4 linked regions of the Drosophila melanogaster genome follow. The protein of the gene in region 1 purifies or fractionates together with the protein of each later gene. This does not show direct contact. Each region holds a gene or a part of one and is shown in the gene's direction. Other genes may lie near its edges. The genes, in order: Rab30, Tbc1d8-9, p115 and Rep.

What was found.
Region 2: the proteins of Rab30 (region 1) and Tbc1d8-9 purify together in Drosophila melanogaster (affinity purification with mass spectrometry, with the first as the bait; 2 studies listed by BioGRID). This does not show direct contact.
Region 3: the proteins of Rab30 (region 1) and p115 purify together in Drosophila melanogaster (affinity purification with mass spectrometry, with the first as the bait; 2 studies listed by BioGRID). This does not show direct contact.
Region 4: the proteins of Rab30 (region 1) and Rep purify together in Drosophila melanogaster (affinity purification with mass spectrometry, with the first as the bait; 2 studies listed by BioGRID). This does not show direct contact.

The regions. Positions count from the first base shown.
Region 1 is NT_033779.5:7,027,698-7,034,595, reverse strand, and holds Rab30 (Rab30), read left to right. Parts: upstream 1-1,989; 5' UTR 1,990-2,359; intron 2,360-2,418; 5' UTR 2,419-2,490; coding exon 2,491-3,162; 3' UTR 3,163-4,103; downstream 4,104-6,898. Other genes in the region: caper, read right to left, coding at 1,578-1,631; MME1 (mitochondrial magnesium exporter 1), read right to left, coding at 5,697-5,869, 5,930-6,106, 6,176-6,608, 6,669-6,785.
Region 2 is NT_037436.4:21,336,601-21,346,893, reverse strand, and holds Tbc1d8-9 (TBC1 domain family member 8/9), read left to right. Parts: upstream 1-3,177; 5' UTR 3,178-3,274; coding exon 3,275-3,318; intron 3,319-3,796; coding exon 3,797-3,963; intron 3,964-4,441; coding exon 4,442-4,700; intron 4,701-4,757; coding exon 4,758-5,319; intron 5,320-5,378; coding exon 5,379-5,527; intron 5,528-5,602; coding exon 5,603-6,998; intron 6,999-7,062; coding exon 7,063-7,280; intron 7,281-7,338; coding exon 7,339-8,024; intron 8,025-8,081; coding exon 8,082-8,170; intron 8,171-8,235; coding exon 8,236-8,541; 3' UTR 8,542-8,744; downstream 8,745-10,293. Other genes in the region: ebd2 (earthbound 2), read left to right, coding at 140-205, 819-1,856; CG32436 (uncharacterized protein), read right to left, coding at 2,232-2,786; Tsr1 ribosome assembly factor, read right to left, coding at 8,953-9,462, 9,519-9,785, 9,840-10,293.
Region 3 is NC_004354.4:7,890,638-7,898,353, forward strand, and holds p115 (p115), read left to right. Parts: upstream 1-3,393; 5' UTR 3,394-3,489; coding exon 3,490-6,000; 3' UTR 6,001-6,354; downstream 6,355-7,716. Other genes in the region: Nek2, read right to left, coding at 1-862; ND-MNLL (NADH dehydrogenase (ubiquinone) MNLL subunit), read right to left, coding at 2,493-2,663; CG45089 (uncharacterized protein), read right to left, coding at 2,685-2,849. UniProt on the Drosophila melanogaster protein: Essential for maintaining the architecture of the Golgi stacks and for normal organization of the transitional endoplasmic reticulum (tER). Required for both the formation of the Golgi stacks and the maintenance of the individual cisternae.
Region 4 is NT_033778.4:19,488,732-19,495,342, forward strand, and holds Rep (Rab escort protein), read left to right. Parts: upstream 1-3,355; 5' UTR 3,356-3,492; coding exon 3,493-3,541; intron 3,542-3,600; coding exon 3,601-4,686; intron 4,687-4,743; coding exon 4,744-5,144; 3' UTR 5,145-5,394; downstream 5,395-6,611. Other genes in the region: Oseg6 (outer segment 6), read right to left, coding at 1-97, 158-338, 396-678, 734-1,310, 1,369-1,981, 2,056-2,781, 2,845-3,005; hpo (hippo), read right to left, coding at 5,951-6,611. UniProt on the Drosophila melanogaster protein: Binds unprenylated Rab proteins, presents it to the catalytic component B, and remains bound to it after the geranylgeranyl transfer reaction. The component A is thought to be regenerated by transferring its prenylated Rab to a protein acceptor.

The DNA.
Region 1 (6,898 bases):
TTATCGTAAATCTGTAATTTGTAATTTGAGCGATACTTTCATTCTTGTCTGACTGTGAGTGAGAGTAGTAGTAGTGCTGCCTGCTGCCCCAGACAAGTTAGGAGGAGTATATCTGAAATTTAGTGCACGTTCAGTTTCATTGGTTTACATAGAGCAGTAAGGTAACGATTTCAATTGGATTGTGTTCATAAAAAAAAAACGCAAACATAAACAAATCATATTTTATACAAAATGCCTAGATATGTTTTGGTTTTTTTTTTTTATTGTTTTGTAATTTTGTAATTGGTTTTTTTTCGCAGCTTCTGGCACATTCAAAACTTACCAAATGGTCTCCAGCTTTTTGTGTTTAGAATGACCAAAACAATCTCTAGCAACAATATTGAGCTTATTCGATTCTCTGCAAAGACATTTCACCCTTAAGAATTATTCTAGCATTTTTGTTTGGTTTTTTTTTTTTTTTTTTTTTTTGTATTTTTTAATGGTGATTGTGTGTGGGTAGTTGTCGGTAGTTCTTAGTGAGACAGCAGATAGGAAGAAATAGGAGCGTTGAACTCATGAGTTGTTGGTTTGGGGCGAAAGAATTCAATTCAATTAATTTCCAACTTTAGCTGGATGTCATAGACTACTACATTGACTAAAACCTTGGCGAGCTGTCGGACAATAATGCTGATTTTGGTTTTGGGTTAATTAATGATAATTTTATTAGATTTATTCCACAACACACCGAAAATTGCATTTGTAAATGCTACGGAAAAATGTGGTTTGCTAACCTACAAATTATTTTATAATATATTGAGATTTTTCAAGTATGATTTCATATGGCTGAGTTTTAACCTATTAATAAATATTATTACAGATGGTTTGCCCAGATAAGATAAGAGGAATACCAATTGCTACAAAATCCGTTTCAGTCAATAATACAGATTAAAGTCCAAGTTTAGTAAGAGATATAAAATATCACTAAAATACGTTGTTTTTTATAGTTTACAGAATCATGACTGTCTTGTTAGTAATTCAATCCTTTAAGTTTCCCTGATACTTGTTAAACGTTTTCAGTTGCTATTGCAGCCCTGCCAAATATTTTGCACCCCACTGTACACCCACTGCAGTACACGACTGTATCAAATGCCGCGTAGGAAAATAAACAACACAAACCCACACACAGACAGATTTTCCGTTGGCGAAACACTTTTCTGTATGAACGCAGTCTAGTGTGAAAAAAAAATATTACGAAAATCAGCACGCAGATTGGCGTTCCGGCTGCCGATTTTTTATTAAACAGCAAAATTAGGCTAAAAATCGATTTAAGACCACTTAGTATGCATCGACTGCACATGTGTGTGTGTGTGTGTGTGTGCCCGAGACGAAGACGACTTACATACAAACACAAAATGCACGTACGCCTGTGGGTGTCTATGTGGGAAAAGAAGTATACAAACATACATATGAAGTAACTGTTTTTCTATTTTTTTTCATTTTGTTTTTGCACAGCAAAATAATTGCCTTGGGTGGGCACAAAAGCCAGTGGGACTTAATTTAAACGATAGTTGGCTGTTATCCGGCCTTTGGGAACTTACGTTTTTCATGTACGGCGCCTCGAGCATCGCCTCCACATCAAAGTCCTCGGCCATATTCGAAAATTACTTCGCTGCAATTCGGGGTGCTCCGTGAAAAAAGTCCCCTGCTCGGTGTCTGGCACGTTTGGAGAAATCAAAATGTGGTGGGGACGCACAGCGGAATTCGTAGGACGACTTACGAACTTCTCTTTTGGCTTTTGCGATTTTTTAATTAGAATTTTTGCCAATTTTCAACCAGATTTTCTTCTCTAGCGTGGCTGCTTGTTTTCGGCTTCAGGGTTGTCACAGAACTTATCGATGATGAACAATCGATAACTAGTGACCGTACTTCAAAAAGTTTTTAAGTGCTTTGCAAAACGTCGATCTATCGATACCGAGAAAAACATCGTTAAGTATTGCTATGGGAATTGATGTCACATCTCTAATCAAATACCATCACGTCGAAATACAGTAAAATTCTGTTGGTAAACATAAGCAAAATTAAGGCTGGCAATTAATGCGGCAGCATGCAACCAGTTGATTACAAATTTGCAAGCATAGTCAACCTGGCCGAAAGCCTGCTGAATAGATTTGGGGCCGATTCGCATAGATAAGCGAGTAACAAGCATCTACAGCTGCTGTTGAGTCATCATCTTTTAGCCAAATAAGCCAAAAAACAAGGCGAACAGCCGTTGGCCAGCTAGTGATAGAGCCCCAGGTGAGCCACAGGTGAGAGGCGTTGTCTTCGCTGGGGATGGCGTAAGCTGATCCAACGAACCACCACCAGCCAGCAAAGTATAATCGTTACGCGTCGCTGACTAGGTGTGTCTAAGCTCCGACTAACTTTCGTCTACTTTCGCAGAGCACACACACACTTGCCCACACCCAGCGACTCAAAAACCCCAAAACCAACCCATTTTTGGCAACATCCCCAATGGAGGACTACAAGTTCCTGTTCAAAATCGTCCTGGTGGGCAATGCTGGTGTTGGAAAAACATGCCTAGTGCGCCGCTTTACTCAGGGTCTATTTCCACCTGGCCAGGGTGCCACCATTGGTGTGGATTTCATGATTAAGACCGTGGAGGTGGAGGGCGAGAAGATCAAGCTACAAATCTGGGACACCGCCGGCCAGGAGCGGTTCCGATCCATCACGCAAAGCTACTATCGATCGGCTCACGCCTTGATCCTGGTGTACGACATCAGCTGCCAGCCCACATTTGACTGCCTGCCGGACTGGCTGCGCGAGATCCAGGAGTATGCCAACTCCAAGGTACTCAAAATCCTGGTGGGTAACAAGACGGACAGGGATGATCGAGAGATACCCACCCAGATTGGCGAAGAGTTCGCCAAGCAGCATGACATGTACTTCTTGGAGACATCCGCCAAGGAGGCAGAGAATGTAGAGCGTCTGTTCTACGAGATTGCCGCCGAATTGATTGGTCAGGCAAGGAGCAAGGATGGCAGTAGTTCGGCCGCAGCGGCAGCCGCCCAGCGTCAGTCGGAGGGCAGCTCCATCGGACTGGGGAGCTTCAGTGCCAAGGCAGCGCAGAGCAATTGCTGTGGCGGACTCGCCAGCGGCGGCTCCAACTCTAGTCAAGGCGGCTGAGCAGCTGCAAACTGAACTGGAAGCTGAGCAGCTAATCTGTAACTTGTTAAGGACTAATCGTGATATTCCATTTATCTTTTATTACCACAATGCTCCCACATTCTAACACATACATACATATGTTAAATTTTGTTTTTATAAGCATGATTATGACGTGATCGTTTGCCTTTGTCTTTGTAACGATTCCTATTAGATTGTTAAAACACATCGGCTTCAAATACCTTTAAATGTAAAGGTATTTAGAGCAATTCTCTTCGCTTTCACTAAACTACGATAACAACAAACATTTAAAGTACAATGTGCAAACGGATCTGGAAACTGTGCAGCTAATCTGTTATCTGTTATCGTGATATTCTGTTCATGCTTAAGGGTTTATTATTTTAATTACAAGACTAAAAAAATTGATTATTTCTGTATCCCCTTTGGTTTACAGAAAGAAATTGATTGTAAAAACTAATTTACTATTTATCACGATTAAGATCCTATGGGAAACTAGCTGTCAATGACTAAGGATGCTAAATATTTGTGTTACAAGAACTCCATTGGAGGTGTTTAAGACCGCCTGATTTTCTTGATTTGTATTATATAGACGTATGTATTGATCTGATTATGGATCGTTTACCAAGTGAGCATCACAGCCAATGCTACGAAGAATTTATGATATCAAAAATGCTAGACTCACCATTTAGTTTATTTCAATTAATTCCCAAGGAGTATTGCATGTTTTATACATTACATTTTTTGTATACATACACAATTTATGCATATTTATTTGCAATTATTTTTACATATTTTTACGATTAATGTGCAATCTTTGGTAATGCAATTTTTAAATGATATTCGTAATAGTGTTTAAGGTGATTTTATGACATTCCAAAAATTAAGAATTAGAAACTATGAATAGACCAGAAAGCTGAATAAAAAATAAACTAAATACAAGTAAAATGGAAAAGAGTGTTTAATTAATTTACAGCTGATTAATTTACAGCTGAGTAAAATATAAAATATGTTGATTAAGTATATCAACTTTTTACGAATGCGGAAAAAGTTGTTGATTAAAAAAGCTGCAATATATATCTTGTTATTATATAAATATCACAATAATTGGAATGTAAACTTTTAGCCGATAAATAATTACAAATGTTTTTAAAACAGTATTTTGTACAATAATGCATATAAAAAAAAAAAATCCCATCGATTTCAGGATCTAACTAACCACCTTAATAATTTCGTGCAAAAATCGTTCCACTCCGATTCTGAGTTCAAATAGCTCTTCCACCTTAAGTTATAGGTACTGCAAATATTATTAAGTGCTTTAGCCCACAGAATGTTTTTCTTCATTACTTTAAGAGTTAAAAATCGGCCGATCGAATTTTCATTGTGGGAAAATAAAGTTTTTTAATATACTGCAAATGCATCTCTTATCAGATTATTAGGGTTGGGACACTCGAAACAAGTGGTTTTTTTTTTTTAAATAAAACGCTTGCAGAGCTTTGAATTGCATTACTTTTTCGTATCCCCACATTTGCAGCAAGTATAGATTCATCAATCTTCTCTAATCATCCAATTTTTCCAATCTATTATGTGGAGTATCTCTGGAGTGTTGAGTGTAGTTGTGAGCAAAAAATCGAGAAATTCTGCAGTGCTTGTGGTTTTGATCTCCTTTCCCGTTATAAACCATTTCTCAGTCAATGCAAGCCGTCCACCTCTCCTGAAGACCATTATACACGACCTGTCCATGTCCACCACTATGTCCCATTTGGTGCAGTATTTTTCCAGCTGGTTGATCATATCCTGAAGATCATCAATACTTTCGGAAAGTATTGCGATCCTATCAGCGTACATTAGGACATTCACACGGCGGCCATCGATGTCGATTCCGCCCTCCAATTCCTCGGGCAGATCATTCAAATACAGGGCGTATAATAGTTTTGAAAAACTATCGCCGTTTTTCCAAGTGTTTTTTTTCAACGTCTCTTTCAGGAAACGTATTATATTCAAGGAAACACCAAAATGTTTTTCGCACAGAAGCCGGTGTGTTTTTAAAGGTATCGATTCGAATTGAACGAAATAGGAGTAAACGCGCGACCCGCCAGCGTCCAACTTTCTCCGCAAGTAGTTTTCTGATTAAAAGCAGTAGTACTTATCTCGCTGCACTTCCAATTCTAATATTGTCGATCTGTTCGTTCCGCTTAAAAGCTTTCGATTGCACATCCAATTGGAATGAATCGAAACTAAGCTTAAACGTAAAGATACTTTTGCATGTAAAGTAAAGTATATTTTAAATGTAAGCCAAGCTAAACCGTAAAGATACTTTAGCATGTAAAGTAAAATATATTTAACTTTTAAAATCGGATACCAATTATTGGCGTTATATTTAAAAATCCATTAATATCCCTCGGTTACTGCGCATAGCTAATATTTCAAACATTTTGTTTATAGAATATCAGAAATCCAAATAAAGCAAACTCAACCGCATATGTAAACAATATTTAATATTCTAAACAGCCTCTCTGAAATACAAATTCTTAAATTTAAGCCTTCAGCAAATCATTGGTTAGCTCCACGCCGAAGAAAACTGCTGCGGTGGAGGGAAAGGCACGAAGTAGAATTGGCAGGATACCGCGAAATAGAGCTTTTGGGCCTTCTGTGGCCATGAGGTTTCTAAAAACGCTGCGAATGCCGTGCTTGTATGTTCCCTCAGGTGCTAAAAATATGGCATTTATAAATCATTGTAACTAAAGCGATTGGCGATTGGATGACTCACCCGACTGGAGACGGCTTTTAAGTACATCGAACGGCACGGCCAAAGTCCAAAACACAATGCCCGCCGTTCCGCCGGACAGAATAGTTGATGTGGTGCTAATCTTTCCATTGGCGGACTTCTTTCTAGCCAATTCCTGTAGGAATTCGTAGGTCACAAAGTAAAAACCGGTGGGCGAGTCTGTAAATTTTAAAATTATCCATAACTATTATATATACTATAATATTAAGCAATTAATTAACAACTGACCTCTCAGAATGCACGCGCATGTTCCCTTGAAGAGGCTCCGAATGCCACCCTGCCTATATAGCTTGGCGGCCGTGTCAATGGTTCCATTGTAGAGCAGAGGTCCGTTGGACACGGTTTGCGTCTGCAGAAGGACTTTTATACGATCGGTGGGCACTGTGACGAGGGCAGAACAAACTCCGGCCAAGGCTCCCGCGGCGAAGATTTGTGGGTAGGTGAGCCTAATGTGGTCATCCGTTTGGAACAATCGTTTACCCGCCGCATAGACGGCAAAGTCCACGGCATAGATGGGTGTTACTCCCACAAGTGGAGCGGATATTCCTCTGTAGAATCCGCGAAAACCCTCATAACGAAATGTCCTGGCGGCACAATCTATGACTCCCTTGTATCTCGGCGGCTGTCCAGGTGGAGGTGTGGGCATGGTTTGGAGACGGACCTAAAGTGGAACTTAAAGCATTACATCGTTTCCATTTGTAAACACAGTTTTGAAGCTCACCTTTATTGTGTCCAATGGATGGCCAACGAGCACATTGCACATGCCTCCCACGCCGCCCGCAATAAATGACTTTACGGGATTGGATTTCTTTTCTGTGCTGATTTCGACCTCCTCCATTGCTGAATTTTAACTATTTACGTAAACACGCCGAGAAATTCCGTCAGCTTCTGAACGAAATGCACGTGCTTGAAGATCGCTGGCTTCCTGATGAACGCTATCGCTTGGTGATC
Region 2 (10,293 bases), on another chromosome or scaffold:
CGCGAGAGCGGAACGACTACAGCCGTAAGAGCGCAAGAAGCTGCTGCGCAGTTATCGGAAAAGAAGAAGTGGAGAAGGAAAAGAAGGAGAACGGAAAGAGCAGAAACCTAGTTGCAATTGACTTAACACAACTATTGAAATGGCTGCTATTGCCGCCCTGCCAACAACAACGTTGCGGCGCAACAACAACAACAACACCAAAGGGGTAAGTAGTCGCAAAGGGACAAGGGACCAGATATGTCTGTTAACTTGGCCCTTAAGCGACCCGCTGAGGGTGGATTTTATAACGTGTCTCGAGTGGACACGCGGCAGTTACACTAAACACGTGTACACAAGCATATGCATACATATGTACATGTATACCGCACACATATCGTACATTCATTTACCCTTGAGCTGCGTGGCTTGCAACCAAGGTCCTTTACATGCACACCCTTTGCATGATCGAAACGGAGGCCGTTAATCCCTTAAGGCTAGCTTAGTGTTGCAGTTCGTATAGGCCTCTGTTTTCATTGTAATGCCAAATTCGCACTATGTTCATATACAACAATAATATTATCTATAAAAATGTACAAATTCTATAGAGCTTATTGGAAAAGAAATATACGTATATATATATATACGACACTGAGAGAAAAAATTACTTATCCGCCCAGTAACACTTCTGCATGGAAATTTTCGACAGGATATAAGAGGTGGTCAACAAATGTGGCTTGTACCCTAATAGTTGCAGATATCTAATAATTTATTAAATTGCTTAAAATATATTTAATACTAATCTTAGGTTAATCTTATACTCTTCCCTCTCTATATTTTAGATCAAATCCCGTCGCAATGAGCGTAACATCCTGACATTCTACGAAAAGATTGCCGTAATCCGTTACTATGACGAGACCAACATCTCTAGGAACAGTCTGGCCAAGATGTTCCACTGCTGCGCCACCCAAATACGTAGAATCTTGGATAAGAAAAAGGATCTGCTGCAGCAGTTGGCCACCTTAAGCGAGGCAGATGCCTCCATTATAATCGAAGAGATGACGCGCAAGCGCCGCAAGTTCGAAATGAGTGCCATCAGCTTCCTACTACACGAGTGGGTGGAAAGGTGCATCCAAATGCAGTTGAACATCAGCATAAGGAACCAAAAACTGAAGGAAACCGCCATCCGGATGGCAGCTGTGTTGAACCTGCCATCCTTCAGACCATCCTATCGATGGCTAAGCCGATTCCGCAACAAGTACAAGTACGAGGCCGATGAATTGGGCTACCAGGGCGAAAATCCCTTGAACCAGGACCTGCCTGTCGAAGACATCATTGTGGAGTTTAAGCATGCACTGCCGAACTTCATGCAACGGGAGCTGGATAATCCAGGCGAAGCAATCTCAAAAGCAGCTGTTATGGCAGATTTTGTCAATCTCTCCAGCGAAAACAGTATCATGTCCGATCATCCAGAGGGGGATAATGAAGTGGAGCTGGTAACATGTGAGCCCACCATGATGTCCTCACCATCCAGCACACCAGATGCTGCAGAGGGGGAAATACCTCTGCAGGCACATGGCGACCAGGAAAACCCGGATGATCAGATTAACGCTGGAACCAGTACTCTTCTGAATGGGGTTTTTCCGCATCTAGCCATTATCCACCAGTTCGCTCTGATGAACTCGGATGTACAGGCATTGGAACTTATCTCCCAGCTGGGAGTGCACATGCAGCAACAGGCTGTTTCTGGAGCTTATCATAACCTGTCGCTGGCGACTACCGATGGAGATGGGCAAGACGATCCAGGAGAAATCGCTCTTTCGGAACTGCCACCGGGAAGTATTTACGCCGATATCGATGACATCGAATTGATCGAGTAAAAACATCAATTTATCAAAAGGTTAAAGCTAGTCTAAACTTATGCCTCAGCGTAGTCGACTGTTATTTATAATCAACAAATCGTTTTGTTATGAACTTAAATGAGTTCATTTCACCAAAAAAGTACTTAAGGCCTTCGACTTTTATTAAGATTAATTCTTAAAACAACAACAATAAGAGATCTACTTCATAATTTAGTTTAAATCAAATTCGATTTGATTGATTAAAAGGTTAATAAACCAGAATTGCTTATTATGATCATGTTAAAATTTAATAATCCGCAGATAATTTGGAAATGGTGGTAATTTGGGATACGTAGTTTATACGAATCGAGAAATATTGTCTATACCAAGTTTATAAGCTATATCTAAACATACCATGCGTTTGTCCGGAATAATTATCATATCAGAACTGCATTCTGGAGTGGCTAGTTGTGGCTTGACCTCGCCCTCCTCCTCTTCCTCGCCCTCCTCCGCCTGTTGTTCCTCCTCGCCCATGTCCATGGGACTGTTGAGGACGACGAGATCTTTGGGACATGGCCTATCGACCCTGGCGTCGTGCTCGACGAGTCCAAAGTCCTTGCGCGCGGCCAGAATTCGCTCTCGCATCTCGGCATGGGTCTTTAGCTCCGCTGGAGTTCGTTGTGGCACGATGCACATGGTTAAATCGTCGTAGAGGTCACATTTCTTTTTATAGGGCTTTGTGAAGCGGGATTCCTCCGCCTTGTGGTGGATGCGACGCAGCTCATCCTCGATGGTTAGCACTTGGGAGATCGTGGAGTTGGGTGGCTTTTTCTGACAGACGCGATCGCGGGGCGGACAGTTCTCCGCCTTCCATTCCGGCGACGTTTCGTTGCCCAGAAAGGTACGAATCTCATAGGGATTGTTAGAGGGACTGCACTCGGCGTTCACTTCCACGAATTTTTTCAACATTTTTGCAAAACACTGACGATTTTGCAGGAGTTGAGAATAAAACTAGTAATTTTGTAGCACGACACGTTCGTTGGGCTTTGAACTTGTTATATAAATGAGAGGTTTCAGTTTCGATTTAAAGCTAAAGGCTAACTATGTAATTTATATGGTAACTTTGCGTAATATTAAACTGTTAATAATGAACATTTTCTGTTTCTCTATTCGGCTTCTAAAAGCCAACAAGTTTTTAAATTGGAGAGAACATATTTCGCTTAATTGAAGTTAAGATACAGATTCATATTCTTAGGTTTAACTAAACGTTAACTATTTGATTCAAAAATCGGACGCAGAGTGCACCCATTCACAATAGATTGCTTAGTTCTTTGTGCGTTTTGTGCTTTCCAGCCAACGGGCACACTTGCCACAAAAACAGCAATCAGCGCTCGATGCAGAATTAAACAAAGAGTAATTTTGTATTTAGAGCCTGGCACGGGCTAAGAACAATCAAAATGTGGATTCAGCCCAAGGAGCTGCTGCTTCCCTCGGCATTTTGGTGAGTTATAGCCCAAGTCCGCAGCCGAATCGAAGGATTGCCGAAAATCCAAATTAAACACGGCTGCATGGGTGTGTGGGTGAATTGGAATGGACGGCATGTGTATATGCAATGTTATGTTTATGGAAGACATCTCATGGAATGCGATTATCGCGAAGTGCAGGCGGAATGGGGAGCCGCCGATCACGTATTTGGATTAGGCACAAACGTCGTACTTGCAGCTAGCTAGTTGAAATGCATTTGTTGATAACTAATTGAGCCAAAAGTTCAAGACTCCAACTCTTCAGATCGCTGGTTCTGATTTCGAAACGCAAAAAGTGCCAGCTGTGTAAAGTCAGCTTGAAAATTGATTTCCAACTGTTTCCTGCTGCGTAGAAAAGTGCAGACACCGCCCTCTAGAAAATAGCCCCCGTTAAGTGGGGCCCTCCCCCCTTGATAAGCCGACTCTAAAGGTGAACACCATAATTTTCGCCCACAGGATTGCCGAGATGCACTCGAGATACTTTGTCCTGCAGAAGAGACGTGGCCATGGGGAATCACGCGGATTCGGTTCCATGTTGGTGGGCACCTACGACAGCGTGATGAACACCAAACCGGCACCCTATCGCATCCTCCACCAGACGCCCTCGTCGGAGGTGTCTTACGGTAGGTCCAATATCTCAGACTCATCCGCTCTATCAGTTCCAGTACCTCGGGTCTATTTCGTATGTCCAGCAATCGGTGACCGTGAATCATCGGGCTTTGACTCGCATTTATGGGAGTATGCCAATATTTCTTTCATCTACGGTTCCCTCGGCGCTTACGTAAACATGGAACGGAGCTGATTACAAAAGCTGCGGAGGCTGGATCGTTCCTTTTGTTATTCAATTTATATTATATTAAGAAAAGAAGGCAACTGACGGAGTAGGGTACTTGAAAACCAGGCATTTTCATCTCAACATGCGCAAGGCGCTGAAATGCGTGTTATCCTAAAGTTTAGTAAAAAATGTTTAAACTAATTTTTGGTATCTTACTGTGCCTGTAGAATAATTAATTCCATATCCATATTGTGCTGATATGGTTTTTAAGTCGTGTTCTATAGATAAAAATATAAAAAAGATTAACAAGAATCTATTCCCTACAGAAATCGCCATTGGCATTACCCAGGATGAGATTGTTAAGGATTGGGAATGGCTGAAAGCTAATCTCTTTAAAGTGCTGGACGAGATGGAGAACGAGGACGAGGTGACCAACTTTACCATATGCAAGATCCAATCTTTGTACACGCAAAACAATCAAGATGACACTGGCGAATCGGCCGATTTCAAGGTTATGAAATCAAAGTTTAGACAGATTTTCAAAATGCCCGAGGAAGAGCGATTAGTTATCTCTTATTCGGCCACGTAAGCATATGTTCAGTATACATTAAAGGTCCATATTTACTGAATATTGAATTCCAGTTATGTAAAAAACAAGATACCAAGGCAGGGTCAGCTATACATTTCGCTAAACCACGTCTGCTTTTACTCCTACATGCTGGGTCAAGAGATCAAGCGTATTATACGCTTCGCAGAGCTGGAAGACATCAGCCGAAATGCGAATACCATCTATCTAAAAACCACCAATAACATGACCTACAACTTTACAATGCTCTTCAACGCCAGCGATGCACACTTATTGATTGAGCAGCTCAACAAAATGGCCATACAGCAGCTAATCCATGATCCAGATAGTCCTGTGGTCGACCACGATACTTCTAATTTCTCACGGTTGGGTTCCAAAACGTCCAAGAAACCAGTTCTACTGCGGGATTTGACAGCTCGCCAAAAGTCCGAGGAGTTTCGTATTTACTTTCGATTGCCACAATCGGAAATAATTGACGGAAAGATTAAGGCCAATATCTGGACACCTTACTCAAAACGATTTAATTCGGGCTTTATCTACTTATCGCCGAATTTCTTTTGTTTTCGTAGCGATGTAAAGGATTTGGTCAGCGTGGTTATACCCATGAAGACCATAAAGGTTCGCAGACCATAAATGTACTCGATTTCGATAAGTTTTAATTATTGTTTGCACTCTAGAGCGTTGAAAAGAAGGATGATGGCCAGCAACGTTTCGAAAACCAAATTGTAATTATAACATCGGAGAATGTGCCTTTCATGTTTGCTCATATCGTGGACAGAGCTGTGTTGATCTCCAAGATCACAGACCTTCTGGCTCGAGTTCATGTGTAAGTGTTAGATTAAAAATCTATGTTGCTATACTTACATGTATATATTGATCCTAACCATATTATTTAACGCAGTCCTTTGAGTCGCGAACGCGCTAAGTACGACATTTCGTGGAGCAAGCAGACCGCTCTGATGAACACATTCAAGACACAGTTCAGCGCAGAGATCATACAGAAGCAGGAGGAAAAGATGGTGCGCTGGGAGGCGCATTTCCGGGACTTCGGACGGGGCATTGGAATGTTCCGCACAACGGACGTGATAAATCTAATAGTGGAGGGTATTCCTGACAAACTGCGCCAGGAGATCTGGCTGATATTCTCGGGGGCAATCCACGACAAGGAGATGAATCCCGGACTGTACGAGGATCTCGTAGAGAAGGCGGCTTGCATAAAGAACTGCTTTGCCCACGATGAAATTGATCGGGACTTGCCGCGTTCGCTGCCCGAGCATCCGGCATTTCAAAGCACCGATGGCATAGGTGCTCTGCGGAGAGTCCTTCAGGCCTATGCGCTGCGGAATCCACAAGTGGGCTACTGTCAGGCCATGAATATTGTGTCGTCGGTGTTCCTGCTCTTCTGTGATGAGGAGAACGCATTCTGGATGCTGGCCAGCCTGTGCGAGAACTTACTACCGGACTACTACAAGGATAAAGTGGTGGGCGCCCAAATCGATCAGGGTGTGCTTAATGAGCTAGTGGAGACGCATTTGCCTGATTTGCACGGCCATCTGGAGCAGTTGGGTGTGATTAAGATGATTTCCATTTCCTGGTTCCTTACCATCTTCATGAGCGTGATCAGCTACGAGAGCTCGCTGCACATCCTGGACTGCTTCTTCTACGAGGGCGCCAAGATCATTTTTATGATTTCACTGCAGATCATTGAATGGAACAGGGACAAACTGTTGATCTGCCAAGATGATGGCGAAGCCATGCTAGTTTTGCAGAACTACCTGGAGGGAGTCTACAATCCAGAGTACCAGGTGCCTCCTACGACGGACAAACGGAAGATGGAGCGTAAAGTCCAAACACAAACAGTTCAGACCCTGATCCATGAGGCATACACAAAGTTCGGTGAGGATATCACACAGCAGCGCATCGAGGAGTTACGCAACAAGCATCGCCGGTTAACGATGCGACAGTTCGATATCGACAACGAGAAGACCATTGTCAAGGCTTACGTCCAGAATCCGTATTTCAACCGCAGTGAACTGCATATGCTGCTCACTATCATCCGGGAGGAAAAGCACGCCCTTAAATCCCTGCAACAGCAGCAGCAGAAGGTTCAATGCCCGTTGTCTGAGACTCCCCAGCTGGTCCCTCAGTCGACAAGCAGACCGATCCAAGATGCCGGCGCCTCCGGAGGCAGATACGAGGCTTACAGTGTCAGCTATGAGGTATTCCACACACTTTTTACGGAACTGACACCCTGGCGTAAGTGCGTCAGCGTGGACATTGGCGAAAAATTGTTTAGGGTATGTTAATGATCTTGGAATAAGAATTGGCATGAATCTATATGTCTCTGTTTTCGTTTTCCAGCTTACTGATAAGAAGGGAACTGGTGTTCTCGACTTCGGACAGCTCATCAATGCATTGGGCCTGGTCTGTTCCAACAAGAACATGGAGAAGCTGAAACTCCTCTACGTTTTACATCTTCCGCCCCTATTGTCCAAAGCGGAGATTGAACGATCACGTCGCCCGCGCCCACGCACAAAAGATGATGCCGAGGAGGCTTTCGAGGCGGAGGATTTCTTTGAGTGAGTGTTTTCTGAGGCCCAAACTATAACGAACTAAAACCATGCATTTCTTATTTAGTAATGACGCCTCCGAGTCGATGGAAGCGTTGCCCTCGCCCTCGGATCACAATTTTGATGCCGATGACTTTGCCCTGATTAGTGCCACCCAGCATCTGCACAACCTGGCCGGAATCTCGGGAAACACATTTATGGACCTGTCACGCACTCCCAATCTGTCGGTGAACTCTAACACCTCCTCGTTGGCGCATCGCAGCTCAACCTTCTATGTGGACCTGCCGGGATTCCAGGGTACTGCCACATCCACAGATGCTGGGCGGGACGAAGACGAACTCCAGCGACAGCTTCGCCAGCAGGGCCGTTACGAATCGATTGACACATTTTCGGATATTTCAGATCTGGGAGCGGCACGCATTACGCCGCCCGAAGCGGGAGTGGGAGCTGATGTGGTAGCCGGAGCAGCCTCGTCTGCGGCCGCTGATCACATGCTTCTCAATGTCGAGACTATATCGAATTTCTCACAGATCAGCGACCTTGTTGCGGCCACACGTCTAGAACGTGTTGACTCGAATGCCACGGACTTGCGAAGCTTGGGCAGTCTTGGCTATCTGCTGGACCAGCCGGACGAAGGCGCTTCAAATTCGCAACACAGCATTCCCCACATGCGTAAGGAGAATTTTCAGCTGTTGTGGCGCAGTATCATAGAGATCATGGGTCTGGTCCAGGATGAAGAGATGCAAAGGGCTTGTAAGTATAGCCTTTAAAACGTGAAAGTACCATTCAAAACTATTGTTCATTTTTTAGATGAGAATCTCTTGGAGCTTGGAAACAGCAATATTAAAAAGGAGCCCAGCCTGGAGAGCTTTACCCAGCTAAATATGGGTGGCGATGAGGTATGACTTGCTTTGTCTTTTCAAAGATTCCCAACAATCAAAACAAAACTAAATTTTTCTTTCAGCAACCGGATAGCAATGGCAATCCCACCACTCCTGCACCAGAACCCATTGGCACTACCCGTCTATTTGTGGCTCTAGAAGAGGAGCTTCGTCAGGCGAGCGGAAAGTCCAGGACCACAACAACAAGCAGTGGGGACAGCAGCAGCACTAACATCTCCGAATCCTGGCACATATCTATTACCCAGTTTATCGCCACGGTTCTGACTGTCAACAGCATTGTAAGAGGTTTCCAAACACCAATCCAAATAAGCGAACAGATCGAGCAATTGCAAAAGAAGCGTCGCAAGTGTCTGTCCACCAATTACTGAATAATCATAGTCCCATCCCTGCCCTATGTCCTGTCCCCCCACAAAACTGTATTAGCCATATTCTATGAGAACCTGACCGATTCTTTATCCTTGTGCAATGCGACAAGCTTTTAAACGTATCCATGTTATATGTATGTATATTGTATTGCCTCTACCATTAAGTTAAGACAATTGTTTGTGAATATAATTCTATTATTCCTATTATACAACGCAGTCACATATAAAAAATTATCGATGCGGGATTTTTGTGTACATATTTTATGTACTTTTCGGGTGACATTTCCCGAATGGACACTTCGTAGGTTTCATACTTTTAGAGGTTTAAATGTAACAACAATAATATAAACTCATTTCAGAAGTTATTCGCACTGTCCATCGATCACTTATTTATCCATCCATTTGCACACACCTCTACTCTTCCATGGCCACTTGCTGCGAGCTCCTCCTGTTTGCCGACGCATGTTGTCGCTCGTGCTCCGCCGTTCGCACCAGACACTCTTCGTAGGTCCATTTGGGGAAGACTCTCTTGTACAGGTACATGAAAGCAGTGTCGTAGGATCGCAACTGCCCATCAAAGTAGCACTTCATGTGGCCGTGCGTGCCCAGTGACTCCTTAATGTGTCCCAGCCGTCCGCACTTGGTTCTTAGTTTCACAGGCTTGAAGTACTCCACATCCTCCTTGTAGAAGAACATGTAGCGAATAGAAGCCGACTTGCGATTGATACGCATGGGATGACCGCTGAGAACAACGCGCTTGAGAACAATACGATCTGGATTGCAGGACAGCAGGCGTCCACGGGCAACCAGCGCCAGGGTGGAGTCGGGATTCACCTTGAAGGCCAGCACGGGTGCCGGAGGGAACTGAATCGGTGCGTAAAACGTGGCGCAAACTGTTTCGTACGGACGGAAGTAGCGTTCGAACTGGATAAACATAATCCATTAATAAATAGTCAATTACAAATTAGTCCAAATATTACCTTATGCTTATCCCCATTGGTGTGCTGACTGTAAATGGGATTCACAACAAAGCGACGATAGCCGCACTGGATTATCAATTGTTCTTTAGACTTCAGCGGCACCTCCGAGTCGGGCATTCGCTGCAGTACCACGTTCATTACGCACATCTGGTGCTCATGGGGTAGCATTCCATATACAATAATGTTGTCCATAAGCTGGGCGGACTTGAAGGCATTCCAGCGGCTCTCAGGAACATTTATCACATAAAGAGTGACGTATAAACCAGGCTGAAAGCAAAAACATTATAATCTTATAAAACCGAATTTTTGGAAAATCCCTACCAGAACGCCCTCGAACTCCTTGGCTTCATTAAGAATCCTACGCTTGGTGCGGTCGAAGTTCTGGAACTGATAGATGCGAGCATAGTCAGCGGGAAGATTCTCCTTGGCATCCCAAGGCGAAGTTCGGAAGGACTCTAAGCCGCGATATTTCTGGAACCTCTCGCGAGCGGGCACATCCAAAGGAGTGTCTATCTCATCGGGCCAAAGCTGATCCGTGCGTGCTTGCTGCAGCTTCTTCAGGGTCTCACGCTCCTCCTGGAAGTCCATTTGCTGATCGTACTTTTCGTCGTTGATGGCAGCCTCCGAGGCCACGGACACGGTGTCCTGGAACTCCTCAGTGTCTGAGTCCCGCTTCTCGTACTCATCCTCAAAGGATTTGTTGTCGCACGACATGAAGTCCTCATTATCGTCTTCTTTGTCGTCATCATCATCTTCACTCATGTCATCGTCATCC
Region 3 (7,716 bases), on another chromosome or scaffold:
ACTCGCTAATATTACGCACCACCAGAGGATGCCGAATGATAACCTCGATGCCAGGACGCTGTTCATGATCCACTGCCAGCATGAAGGCGATGATCTCCTGCAGATCAGTACTATAGATTGCCGGAATCCGACTGAACTCACCCTGGGCGATCTTCTCGGACAACTGGTCAAAGGCTCTGCCGCGAAACGGCGGTCTTAGGGCACACATCTCGTATACCAAACAACCAACGGCCCAGACATCGCTCTTCCGATCGTATTTCCTGCCCTTCACCAACTCCGGACTCATGTAGTGCGGAGTGCCCACAAAGGAGGCGGCAAAGCTCTGATCTCGTCGCAGCATTCTGGCCAGACCGAAATCTCCCAGTTTGGCATTCCCGGCCGCATCCAGGAAAATATTTGCTGGCTTGATATCGCGATGCAAGATGGTTCCGTTGGGGATTTTGTTGTGGCACACCTGAAGCGCCCGGCAAAGTTGGAAGAGCACCCGCCAGATGTAGGGCTCCTCAAACCGCTGCCTCTGGGATCTCGCTCGCTGGACAATCTGGGCGAGATCGCCGCCGGCACAGCACTCCATAACAATGTACACCGACTTGGCCTCTCGGTTCACCAGATGATGGTAGTATTGCACAATGTTAGGATGCTGGAGCTGCCGCAGAACACTGATTTCCGAAACCAAAGCGTCGCACTTGGCCTCGTCCAGTTCATCGTAGTTCATTCCCTTCCAGGCGAACAATTCACCGGTGCTTTTGTCGCGCACCTTGTAGCAGGTGCCGAAGGATCCATTCCCCATCACGGCCAAAACCTCGTAATCCTGCAGGGTCTTTTGCGAAAAGTCCATGCCGGCAGATTCCTCTCCGCTCATTTTGCCTTAAGTCTTTTTTTTACTCTTTGGGTATTTTGGGTATTCCGCCGCCGATTACAAATGATCCGCTTGCTACAAAACCCAAACACGATTTGAGACTGGTTTTTGGGATGCAGGATTTCTGGAATTCTCATTGCTACCTGCAAGAACGGGAGAGAGAGCAACAACAAGTGCGCGAGAGAGAGGTTTAAGTAGTGCCGCTACCCCGCTAAATAGGGCGGAAGAATGAATATTCTAAAAACAAGCTAGATTTGTAATTTTTACAAAATACATTTTGCAAATATGCAATCTAATGATATAATTACATACATAAACAAATAGCTATTTCATCATTAAATTAAGAAATTGTAATATGGATTAAAATACAAAACTATTTAAAAACCAATATACAAGACAACTACCGATTAAAATTGATAGCAGTCATTTCAACCTGACCTTCATATAAATAACCTCTCCATAAAACCCTTTCGCACCTGCATGCTAATGCCCAATTTGGCTATTTTCCCGCCGAGAGACACCAGCACTGTTATGTTATTGTTGCACGTCTGGATCTCTCGTTTCCTTCCAGGAACAAAGATCGTGCTATTACCCTCTCGCTCCCAACCACAGTTCAACGGTATCCACTTGCAAATCTCTGGCATCTCACCCTCTCGCTCACGCTCTCCCCCGCTGTGAGAGAGAGAAAGCCCTTGAAAGGCGAAAATCTGGAAAATCCGTTCCATTTGATCCCACTGCGCCTGTGTACAAACTACTGACCATTGGAAACAATGGTCTAGAGAGGGGCAGCACGCCCAAGAACACAATTCCAGCGATTCATCACGCTCAATTTTGGAACTCGAGCCCAAAACCGATCTTAAACCGGAATCCAAAACCGAGTACAAACCCCTAGCCCTGAGCCATAAAAATAAATTAGTTTTGTTCCATTGGCATTTCAATTTGCTGCCTTGTTTGTTAAAGTGGAAATGTCCTTATCGGATTTCATATTTCATATTTGAAGTGAGCGATTATCCATTCTGTCTAACGGTTTTTACTGGAAGCAGTTACATAGTACATATAGGCATGGTCGTGCAAATGAAAGTTTTTAGGGGGCTCATGCTTATAAAAGTTTTTTTTTTCTATTAATTCTTAAAAATCTCGATTCACATGTATTAGATAATTCAATGCCATTTAACGAAACTCATTTAAAAAGACTACTCTCGGTTACCACATTTCAAGTGATTTATGTGACATGCTCAAGAAGTTCTACAATAAATAATAAGAGTTTTGGTAGAATACACCAATGCTCTTCTAAAATATCCAGCCTACGCCCCTGATCCGAACTAAGCAGAACTCGCATATCGTGCAGCGATGCCCAGGTAAAATCCTTCGAAAAACGAGTTATCTCCTTGGATTTTTCATTGGTTTTCGGCTTATCGTTAGACGTGTGTTGAGGTTTTTATGTTTTTCCTGAGTAAAACAAACAATGGTACGCAATCCTTCACAAATAAATCACGTTCCCGACCGCAAATCTCGTCCGCTGGCCATGCAGGTAAACTAGACGACAGGCGTATTTCACATTTCTCCGGTTTATTGAATAACAGTGAATTGGGGGAAAAAAAATAATATTTTGGGATGGCGATGTTGGGCAGGCCTACCAGGATGGCGCCTTACCCTCGCTGCCGGCGGGACGGCCGTATAGGGCACTCTTGTCCCGGAACATGGTCATACGTTCCGTTTCCTTCTTGTCCAGGAAGTGGCCAATGGCAAATCCCAGCAGGGGCAACGCGCCCCACAGTGCTCGCTTATCCAGTCCCAAGACCATGGTGTATATTTGTGTATCCTCTTAGCGCTGATCCTTCAGCTGGGCTCGGTGTGCCAACTGGAGCTGCTGGCGTTTCCACTGGCGGGTGTGCGACCAATCTGCGTAAATCGATCCGACTGCAACAGTGGGAAAGAATATCACTGCGCCGTACTTTCGAGCCAATTGAACCACAATCCCACTGCCCATAGGTCTGCAAGACAAGCACAGGAGATGGCGAGATTTACATATGATTTACACAAATTGATGTGGGGATTGTTATGTTATGGGTTGACATTTTGCCGCATTACGTAATAAAAACGAGTGATTTCTCCCAGCGTCGTGATAACTGTGTTGATATTTTTGAGAACTTCTTACGCCGCGTGTGTGGAACGCTTTATATTGTATTTTTTGGGATTCTCTCGTTTAGTTTTAAACACAAATTTGCTAAATTAGTTTTGTTTTCAACTTACTTATAGCATCGATAGCACCAGGGCTGTCGAGTCGTTTTTAGTTTAATAAAATTTTGGCAGTAAGACTATCGCCGACAGGGATGCCACTCAGCTTAAGTCCCGACGTCAGCTAGAAAGTAGCAATATTTTATGTAATTCAAAAAAAAGTTTTAGATTATCAAAAAAGTGTAAATATAGGTAATTACACAAACATGGTCAAATATGGTAAATTGTAATTCTAAAAATATATTTAATATATTTAAAGACAAGCCGCTTATCGATAAGTGGGCGTCTATCGGACTTTAGCCATCGCTAAGCCGCCCGTCAATTGTTTTCATGAATTGACGTGTCTTGTTGAATGCGAAAAAACCCAGAATAGACCGTAAACACACACTCGCATGGAGTTCCTGAAGAGTGGCATCAAAACGGTGCTGGGCAGCACGGAGCCGGGTCAGCAGCCGAGTGCCGCCGAGACGGTGGAGAAGCTGGTGGACCGTGTCTACTCCTCAACGCTCCTGGAGGATCGACGGGATGCCTGCCGAGCGCTAAAAGCCCTGTCCCGCAAGTACCGCATCGAGGTGGGCGCACAGGGCATGCCTCCGCTGGTCCAGGTGCTCCAGAACGACGGACAGGATGCAGAGATCATCAGCTATGCGCTGGACACACTGTGCAACGTGGTTACTAGCGAGGAGTTCGACGAGGAGGCTGATAATCCCACCGTTTCGGTGAATGTGGGCGAGCAGTTCACGGAGATGTTCATCAAGACACCGGAGCATGTAACCCTGGTAATGGGCTATCTGGACGAATACGATTTTCGAGTGCGTCGCGCTGCCATCCAACTGATTACGTCCCTCATTTCGAACAAGACGCGGGAGCTGCAGGATTTGATTCTGGTCAGTCCGATGGGCGTTTCCAAGCTGATGGATCTGCTGACGGACAGCCGCGAAGTGATTCGCAACGATGTCCTTCTGCTGCTTATCGAACTGACCAAGGGCAACTCAAACATCCAAAAGATTGTGGCCTTTGAGAATGCCTTTGACCGCCTTTTTGAAATTGTCCGTGAGGAGGGCTGTTCGGATGGCGGAATTGTTGTGGAGGATTGCCTAATTCTGCTATTGAATCTTCTCAAGAACAACTCCAGTAATCAGCAGTTCTTTAAGGAGGGCAGCTATATCCAGCGATTGTCGCCAATGTTTGAGCTCTCACAGGATGCGGAAGAGGTTGGCTGGTCGCCACAGAAGGTCTCAAACTTCCATTGTCTGCTGCAGGTGGTGCGGGCACTGGTCACGCCCAGTAATCAACAGCAGGTGGTGGCCGCCTGCCAGCGGGTCATGCAAAAGTCTCGACTGCTCCATGCTCTTTGCGAGATTCTGATGAGCAGTGGTGTCCCTGCGGATATACTCACGGAAACCATCAATGCAGTGGCCGAAGTGGTGCGCGGCGATCGGGACAACCAGGATGAATTGGGAAGAGTTATGGCTCCGAGCAGTCCACCCAGACCTGCCATCGTGGTCCTTCTTATGTCCATGATCAATGAGAAACAACTGCTGGCACTGCGTTGCGCCGTACTCTACTGTTTCGAGTGCTTTCTTTATCGCAATGCCGATGGCCAGCGGGCGGTTGTACAGACCCTGCTGCCCTCCAGTGCGTCCGATGTGAGTGCCCTTTCGACGGGACAACTCCTTTGCACCGGACTCTTCTCCACAGATGCGCTTGCCAACTGGTTCTCCGCTGTGGCCCTAATGCACTCACTCGTAGAGAATGTCGCCCTAAAGGAGGAACTACTGCGCGTACTGCTGGCCACTCCTGGTGGCCAAAAGCCTATCACGCTACTCGAGCAGTGCACTAATCTCATGCAGCAGGAACGCTACCGTTTGCAAAGCAAGGTGGGTCTGCTAATGCTACTCAGCCTGTGGCTGGCGCATTGTCCAGGTGCGGTGAAGGCTTTGCTGGAAACGCAGGGCACCATGGCCTACCTGACCGCTCAACTTTGCTCCAACGAGCACGATGAACGAGAGTTCCTTGTCCAGGGCATGTGCGCATTCCTAATGGGCCTGTGCATCCAGTTCAATGACAACTCGCTGCCGGGGCAGAAGCGCGAGGACATCAGTCAGCTGATCATCAAGCGAATTGGCCAGGAGAGCTTCTGTAGCAAACTAGCAGAAGTGTCGCGACATGAGGCCTACAGTCGGGCATGCAAGCAGGCCCAGATCCGTGCCAAATCCGCTGGGGAACTACTGCTTGACTTCGAGTATTGCAAGCTGTACAAGGGACTGGAGGCGTTGATTGCCAAGCTGGTTAGCGGATTTGATGTAGATGGCATTGAACTGACCGAACTCACGTTGAGCTCGGAAGCTTCTGCATTGGTTTCCCAGTACAAGGGGATTATCCGCGGCATGGATGCCCAGATCCAAGCACTGCAGCAATCCTCCAAAGAACTGGAACAGGAGAATGCCGAGCTGAAGGAGAAACTTGGTGAGGAGCAGTCGCTCAAGGCGCAGCTCTTGGACCAGAACACGCTGCTTAAGGCACAGCTGGGAGCCTCGACCGGTCAGGTGCAGTCCGCCCAAGGTGCGGAAGCCACGCCGCCCAACGAGGAGGAGCTAAATGCCGCTCGCTACCAGGCCAACATGTACTTTGCCGAAAACATTCGTCTAACTAAGGAGCTGGAGACACTACGTCAGCAGTTATCAGCCGAAAAACAGAGTGCAGATGCGGCGCAAGATTCCCTGGCGGCGATGCAAAAGGATCAAGAAGATTTGCTCGAACTGCTGGCCGATCAGGAGGCAAAGCTAACGCGATACGAAGAAGCGGGCTCGACTAATACCCTTCCGACTTCCAATGTAGCTCCAAGCGTGCCGGCAGCTGGCGGAGGAAGCCCCATCCCAAGTGGCACCGCCAGCAGGTAGAAATCGTAACGCGGATGAGTTGCTAGCCACGTACATGTTACAACTGGAAATTGCTCGACTGCCCTAAAAACGTTAAAATATCTTATATACACACATTCTACTTGTTTTACATTTATTTAACTTACGTATAGAATATATGTCTAGATCAGAATTTAAACGAATCCATTATTGTTTTGGCGGGAACTGCAGCAAATCGCAAGAGATAGCTACATATATCGGCTCACGATTTCCTGTTTCCATCTCTTTCCGATTCCGATTTGCCCATATAATGGCTTATGTTGGAATTCGAAGATAGTGTTTGTTCTGCGTTTATTTGTTTAACAATATTAATATACCTATGATTGGGTAAATCGTAATGTTGTAAAAAAAAAACCATTTAAACAGTTTTTCGACCTTCCTTTCTCAGAAAATAATAAATGGCCTTACTTTAATTGAACTATTTGTCGGAACTGTTGCATTTACCTGGGGGAAAAATAGATTGAAATAATTAATTAAAAATCAAAAATATTTTTCAGCGTTTCCGCTGGCACCCGATACATTAGAATAGATATCCTAAAGCTTAATTAGCTCAATCGCTCAATATACATAATTGAACACAACACACCACATTCTATACCATTTATCGCGTTTATTTAACAAAAATGGTTATTGTGATCAACATTCAGTTTCTGCTTAAACGAAGAATGTGGGTTCAGAGTCTGCGGTATTTACTTCTTGCCGCTGAAGACAGAGCTTTTCGGCTTGCGAATGGTGACATAACGGCCGCGGTTGGCCTTGGACTCCTTCTTGCGCTTGACCAACAGTTTGACGTATTCGGCGATAGCCTCCTTGGTTGCATTCTGGCGCTTCTTCTGGTGCCTGCGCTGCAGCTTAACAGGGATGACCTCATCATCTTCCTCGCACAAATAGTAGATCTTGCTGATGTTGCTGGAACGCACGGGTCCCAGGCGACATGGGGAGGGATTCTTCTTGAGAACGACCAAAGTCAGCGCGGATACGTTGGCTTCCACGGTGTATTTACGCACAGTCTTGCACTTGCGCACTTTATTGCAGCGTGGATGGAAGCACGAGTGTATCTTCTTCAGGAGACGCAAACGGCCTGTTGGAAAAGATGATTGTTTTTTTAAGTAGTTTCTTGAGAGGAGTCCATGGATGGATGTGTTTGCAAATACTTAAGGAAATTTATTATACCAATTGGATGCTCAACTTTGGAGCGTACTCCAATCACATATAGTTAATTATTAGCTTTTAGCAACTGGAAATATTCGCTTTGTATTGCTCAGAATGGAAGAACTCACCACGAATATGCACATAAGAATACACAGACGATTTCATATTTAAGGTATGTTCTCTAGATATATTATCACAAGACTGATCCAGGTTGCTTGGCTAATGACAGAAGAAGACAAGCAACCTCATGACAGAAGATACCCAGGTTGCTTAGCTTATTACAGATGCTTAAAAGGGTTTCCATACGGAACATAGAAATCTACACATGGGACCATTATTGCTTTAGCGGGGACTGCAGCAAATCGCAATAGATAGCTACATATATCCGCTCACGATTTCCTGTTTCCATCTCTTTCCGATTCCGATTTGCCCATATAATGGCTTATGTTGGAATTCCAAGATACTGTTTGTTTGTTTTCCATGGTTTCCTTACCAAAAAATGCCGCTGGCTAGCTCATAACCAAAATCACATGCAATATGAAAACA
Region 4 (6,611 bases), on another chromosome or scaffold:
ACAATCCCGCTGCCTCGGTTAGATGTCCCACGGTGGCCAAAAGTTCCGCGCAGTCAAACAAAAGCTGCTGGTCCTCCAGCTCCACAGCATATTGAATCTTTAACATGAGGAAAGGTTTATGTAAGTATCTTCAGTTGAGGATCAGATATTGGTTTACCCCACGTCTGAAGTCTCCCGCTCTGATAGAAGTTCTTGCAATACCCATTTTGCAGAGACGGACATGTTCCTCGTATTCGGGGGAACTGTCCATTAAGGCATCCGTTTCAGTCTCCTTGCTATTGATTAAGTCCTCCTTGTATCCCTTCTCATAGTGGTATAGAGCATCAGTATAGTTTCCACTGCAAAACAGTAAGGTAAATATTTAAAAACTGATGTTACACGATTCGATGCCTTACTTGAACTCCAATTGTTGGGCGTATTCCCTGGCTATATAGGGCACCTCTTGTGGATCGTTTTTGTGGGCCAAAAGCAGGGCCTGATCCCATTGCAGAAGATCTCGACAGAGGTCCAGAGCTGCTCTTGTGTAAACTCCTTTTAACATGTGCTCTTTGGCCTGGTCGTACTGGGCCAAGAGTGTACAACAGCAGCCGATAAGCATGTCCAGATCCTCCACGTAGCGCAGTTCAGACAAAGCATTAACCAGGGCAGCATCACCAAGCTGACGGTAGGCTCGAATTGCTGCAAATACAAGGAGTTTTAATTTCAAATGTAAACGAAAGAAAATTAGTGTTACCTATATCGGGTTCCAGATCGGAAATGGCCTGCTCCCCAAACTCCCGCCAGGCGCTGCTCTGATTCATCTGCTTGCACAGCTTGTAGGCTTCATCGTAGTTTCTCAGCTTCAGGAGCATCTGAAGATTTGCTGCCTGACTGTTGCTGGGATTCACGACGTGGGTACTGAGTGACTGTGTGGCATACTGGCCACCATCTATATGCAAAGCCATTTCTCCGCCGCAGAGCAGCAGAGGAAATTGACCCGGATTCAGTTTGGACTCACCCACCATCAGGGTGTGTGTCCCTTGTACAGAATGCCGCACAAAGACGTGCGTATTGACGATTCTAGCATCGTAGCTGATGAAGATATTCGGCTGCGTGAGATCCCAAAGACAGCCAAGGCACTGCTTGGGAATGTCCGGAATGAGGAGGGCCTCCTCGACAACAGGTAGGAAAACATAACCCTGGGAATGATCATCTATAAAAATAACCTTGGTGCCTTCGATGTCCATGAAGAGCTGCCGGATGCCCATACTGTGTCTGTAGATTGTGCAGCTGTCCCATTTTTCCAGGGAATAGAACACCAGGTGACCAATCTGGAATAATATTATAAATTATTATGCAAAGAACAAACCAACTTTTCCAACTACACACATCTGTTGCAAAAATCAGAAGCTCCTGGCTAAGTGCAAAGCACGTGATCACCGCATCACTGGGCATATTGGGCAGAGCTGTTGGAAAAACCGCCTGCAGCTTGTCCTTGCAGTTTGGATTGTCGGCGGCAATGGCCTGAAGGATTAGTTGTGGTGGACACAAAGCGGCACAGTAGTCCGCATTCAGTTTCATGCTCTCCACGCTGCGCGGAAAATCGCGTTCGCTTAGTGGACGAGGCTCCTCGCCCAAACTCTTCCCGAGATCATAAAACCATACGTGCTTTTCAATTCCTGTAGCAAAGTTGTATGGCCCCACGGCCATGAAGGTAGGCTCACCCTCCAGAGGCAAGCGGAAAGGCAGCGACTTTGTCTTGTCCGGTGCGTAAACATAGATGGACACCTCGGCGAGACTGCTCAACAGCACAATCCGAGGTGCAGAGACGGCGAAGAGATGAGGCAGCTTGGTCACATAGATGTACACAGTACCATGGTTTGTTGTAACCGCCAATAGTTGACCATCGGGCGACCAATCGATCATCTGAACACCGGCATGATCTGGCACGGTAATAATGCGTTCAGTCTCCTGGAGATTCGTTATTGAATGAATCTTAATGCTGCTTAAAAAATGTGAATATTAACATACGAATGTTTCCTAACAGGTTTTATAGATAAGAATATAAGTACTTACCTGTCATCCCCGCAGGAGGCAACTATATCTAACGTCGGGCAGTATGCCAATCCGGTCAAGCTGTCCTTGTGGTTCTTCACCTGCCAGAGCTCCTGTCCGACGTCCTTGGGATGCGTAGAGATGGCCACTACATGTCCGTTGGAAAAGCCCAGCAGGATATACCCATCGCCAAACCACTTGTGCTGCATCAGCGATCCGTATCGGCTCTGGAAGCCCAGCTCCGTAGGATTCTCGGGCTCGGGCAAATAGTAGAGAAACAGAGTACGCTTGCCGATGATCATGCTGATGGCATTGTCCCCCGCAATACGTTCGTCATTGGCCATTTCGGCGAAGTACATGTCGGTGGGCGCATCTCTTAGCTGGACTACGCGCACTGTGTCGCCATCCTCGTTGCTCAACGAGAAGCTCTTGTCCTCCGAACCGAGAGCCAACAGATTCTGGGCGGACCAGGCGCCGCAAGTGATTCGTTTGCTGTGCTTGCCCAGAACCGGTGTGGGTCGCTTTCCACTGCTATGATTATAAATGGCCAGATTACCGCGTCCTGTGCCGACGGCCAGTAGTTGTTGCTGCTTGGACCAGAGAATGCACGTGAGGGGATCTCGAAGGCCCGTCTCCACACTGATCTTTTCCTGGCTGTTATAGTCCCACAACGTTATGTTTGGGGAGCCACTGGTAATGATGCCCAGCAGGTCACCCTCTTGGTCCCAGGCGAATCCTGAGCACAGCCTGGAGAAGAGATTCCATTACTGGTCATTATTCATTATTACGTAGAGATTGAGCATAGCTCACCCAGAAAGTATGATGCGCTGCACCAGTTGGCCCTGTCGATTGTACAGGGCCACCGATCCATCGGTACCAGTTGTGGCCAGCAAAGCCTTCTGCCAAATGAAGTACACATCTCCGATCCCGTGCGGTTCCTCATATTTGTAAAGGATCTTTTCAAAGGACATTATTGGCTTTACGTTTCTGCTGCGTTAGTGTACATTCTGCAATTTTTAATTTTCCGGCTTTTGTTTACGAATTTTCCGTTTCCATGGTAGCGGCGACTACAACTACAAGCACAATTCCCCCCACCTGTATGTGTGCATTTTTATTGCACCTGTTGATTTGGGCATTGGGAAATTCAGTATTTTTGTAATACGCCTGCGATAACTATTGAATTAGACAATTTTTAATACATTTAAATGCTTAAAGAGTTGTAATGCAATGCTAAACTCCGTATGGAATAATTACAAAAGTTTAATTATATTTCAAATTTCAAACAACTTTATAACGTTTTGTTTCGTTAGCCAATACTATGAACAGCTGTTTGTTGATGACGTCATCGCTAGCTGCGCATCTGTAAACAGCTGCTTAAGTAAATTCGCAATAAATTCACGGAATACTTTATTTATCCGTAAATATAGTTTAAATATCAGTGCAAATAAGGCTTAGAACATGTTGGATGACCTGCCGGAGCAGTTTGACCTGGTCGTCATAGGCACAGGTAATTAAGAAGATTTGAAAAGAACCACAGATGAGTCATTCGAGGGACGCCCTTTTCAGGCTTCACCGAGTCCTGCATCGCCGCTGCGGGCAGCAGGATAGGCAAATCGGTGCTCCACCTGGATAGTAATGAGTACTACGGGGATGTTTGGAGCTCCTTCTCTATGGATGCTCTATGTGCCCGCTTGGACCAGGAAGTCGAGCCTCATTCTGCATTGCGAAACGCAAGGTACACCTGGCATTCCATGGAAAAAGAATCAGAAACAGATGCACAATCCTGGAATAGGGACTCAGTGCTGGCCAAGTCGCGACGCTTCAGCTTGGATCTATGCCCGCGCATTTTATACGCAGCCGGGGAGCTGGTGCAGTTGCTCATCAAGTCGAACATCTGCCGCTATGCTGAATTCCGAGCCGTGGACCATGTGTGCATGCGCCACAATGGTGAAATTGTGTCCGTGCCCTGCTCCCGTAGCGATGTCTTCAACACCAAAACACTGACCATCGTGGAAAAGCGCTTGCTGATGAAATTTCTCACCGCCTGCAACGATTACGGCGAGGACAAGTGCAACGAGGACTCGTTGGAATTCCGGGGACGAACGTTTCTGGAATATTTGCAGGCGCAGCGGGTGACCGAAAAGATATCGTCGTGCGTGATGCAGGCCATTGCCATGTGCGGCCCCAGCACCAGCTTCGAGGAGGGTATGCAGCGCACACAACGATTTCTGGGCAGTCTGGGCCGCTATGGCAACACACCCTTTCTCTTTCCCATGTATGGCTGCGGGGAATTGCCGCAGTGCTTCTGCCGTTTGTGCGCTGTTTATGGTGGCATTTACTGCCTAAAGCGAGCCGTTGACGACATTGCCTTAGATTCCAATTCGAATGAGTTCCTGCTGAGCAGCGCAGGGAAAACTTTGCGTGCCAAGAATGTGGTCTCTGCCCCTGGCTATACACCAGTTTCAAAGGGCATCGAGTTGAAGCCGCACATCTCACGTGGCTTGTTCATATCGTCCAGTCCCCTGGGCAATGAGGAGCTGAACAAGGGAGGTGGTGGTGTAAATCTTCTTCGACTACTTGACAATGAAGGTGGACGGGAAGCCTTCCTAATACAACTGTCGCACTACACGGGAGCCTGTCCCGAGGGTTTATGTAAGAAACTTAAGAAAATATGTGAATTATTCCTTTTTAATGAATTAATTTTTACAGATATCTTCCATCTGACCACGCCAGCGTTGAGCGAGGATCCAGCGTCTGATCTAGCCATTTTCACTAGCCAACTCTTCGATCAATCAGACGCACAAATAATATTTAGCTCATACTTCACAATTGCTGCCCAGTCTAGTAAAAGTCCCGCTGCCGAGCATATTTACTACACCGATCCACCTACCTACGAGCTGGATTATGACGCGGCCATTGCCAATGCTCGCGACATATTTGGCAAAATGTTCCCAGATGCCGACTTTTTGCCACGAGCCCCAGATCCAGAGGAGATTGTCGTGGATGGTGAAGACCCTAGTGCCTTGAACGAGCACACTTTGCCCGAAGATTTGCGGGCACAATTGCACGACATGCAGCAGGCAACTCAGGAAATGGATATACAAGAGTAGTCATACTAAAATAAAAAGGAGGTTTCCTTGGTCTACATATATCATTACTTATTACAAAATTTTCTTAAGTATCTTTCGAATAAGTTATATATTGTATGCAATTTTTTGATTCATATATTCCTATATATTTATTATGTAAATTATTTATAATTGCTAAAAGTACTAGGTATATATAAATGTTTAAATGTGAGTGTTTCTGTGCATTTTGCTTTGATAAATATATGTTCGAAAAATATGCATTCCAATGCGTATAAAAATGTTTCTCCTTTATAAGTATTGCTTGACGGGTTACTGTTTTTATCGCACGAAGACAGAAAATAAGTGTTTTAGAGATAAAGGTTAATAGTTACCAAGGAAGAACGAATATTATAAGTCTTATTAAATTATGATAAGGCCTGGGCAGTTCACAATACGGGCAGCTACAATAAACGCAAGATAAATTTTATTCGAGCATACCTATTTATATTAAAAGACAGATCAATGAAAGCTAGGATATAAGAAACCAAGCATAAATTTGATGAAATCTAACAGAAAATATGCTTTCGTGCTGGAAGATACTGCCGATGACTCCTCTTTTCTGTTTTCACTGCATTTTACAATAAAGCTTTTGTGTTTTCATTTCTTGTGATTGATTTTAGACCCTTCCACCAGGTTAAATTTGCACAATGCACGAATAATTTCTAGAGGATACAGATGATGGGTCTGTAAGATTCAGTATTCATCTGCAAACTTAACCCAATGTAGAGGCAATTGAGTGAGTTGAGATTTCATAATCAGTTGTCTTGCGAAATTGTGAGTTGCTTTACCTATATCTTAATCAGATTATTATTGATGTTCTGCTGGCGTTTGCGCTTTGCATTCATGGCGTCAACAATTGGCTGCCGCTTGGCATTGTATTTCTTGTTTAGCTGTTCGATCTCCAGCTCCATTTCGTGATCGATGTTGCACAGCCGCTGGTTCAGATCGTCGAAGGTAAGGAACTTGAGGAACTCAAACTCACCCTCAACATAGGCGTGCGATTGCGTATGCATATGCTGATTCTGATATGCGGGCGGCGGTTGAGCTGGAGCCGCTGCCGGTATTCCCTGCTGTCCCATTGGCGCAGCGTTGCTGAGCAGCAGATTCGGTTGATTGTTGAGCGCGATGAGTTGTTCGTTCATCAGGGGATAAGCCATCAGAACTTGCTGCTGCTGCTGGTGCTGCTGCAGACCATACTGATTAATGGCGGAGATCTGCTGGAACTGCATTTCCATGTTGTGCTCCCAGTTGTTCAAATCGTTGGCCCCGCTTGCCAGATGCTGTTCATCCTGCTGTTGTTGTTGCTGCTGCTGTTGTTGTTGTTGTTGCTGCTCCGCTGCTGCCGGAGAATACTCTGTGGCTATGGGTTTTTCATCGCCACGGCCATCTCCCGCATTTTTGCGATCGAAGTGCTCCAGGAACTGCGGCCTGTAGCGGTTTCGCGGCTTC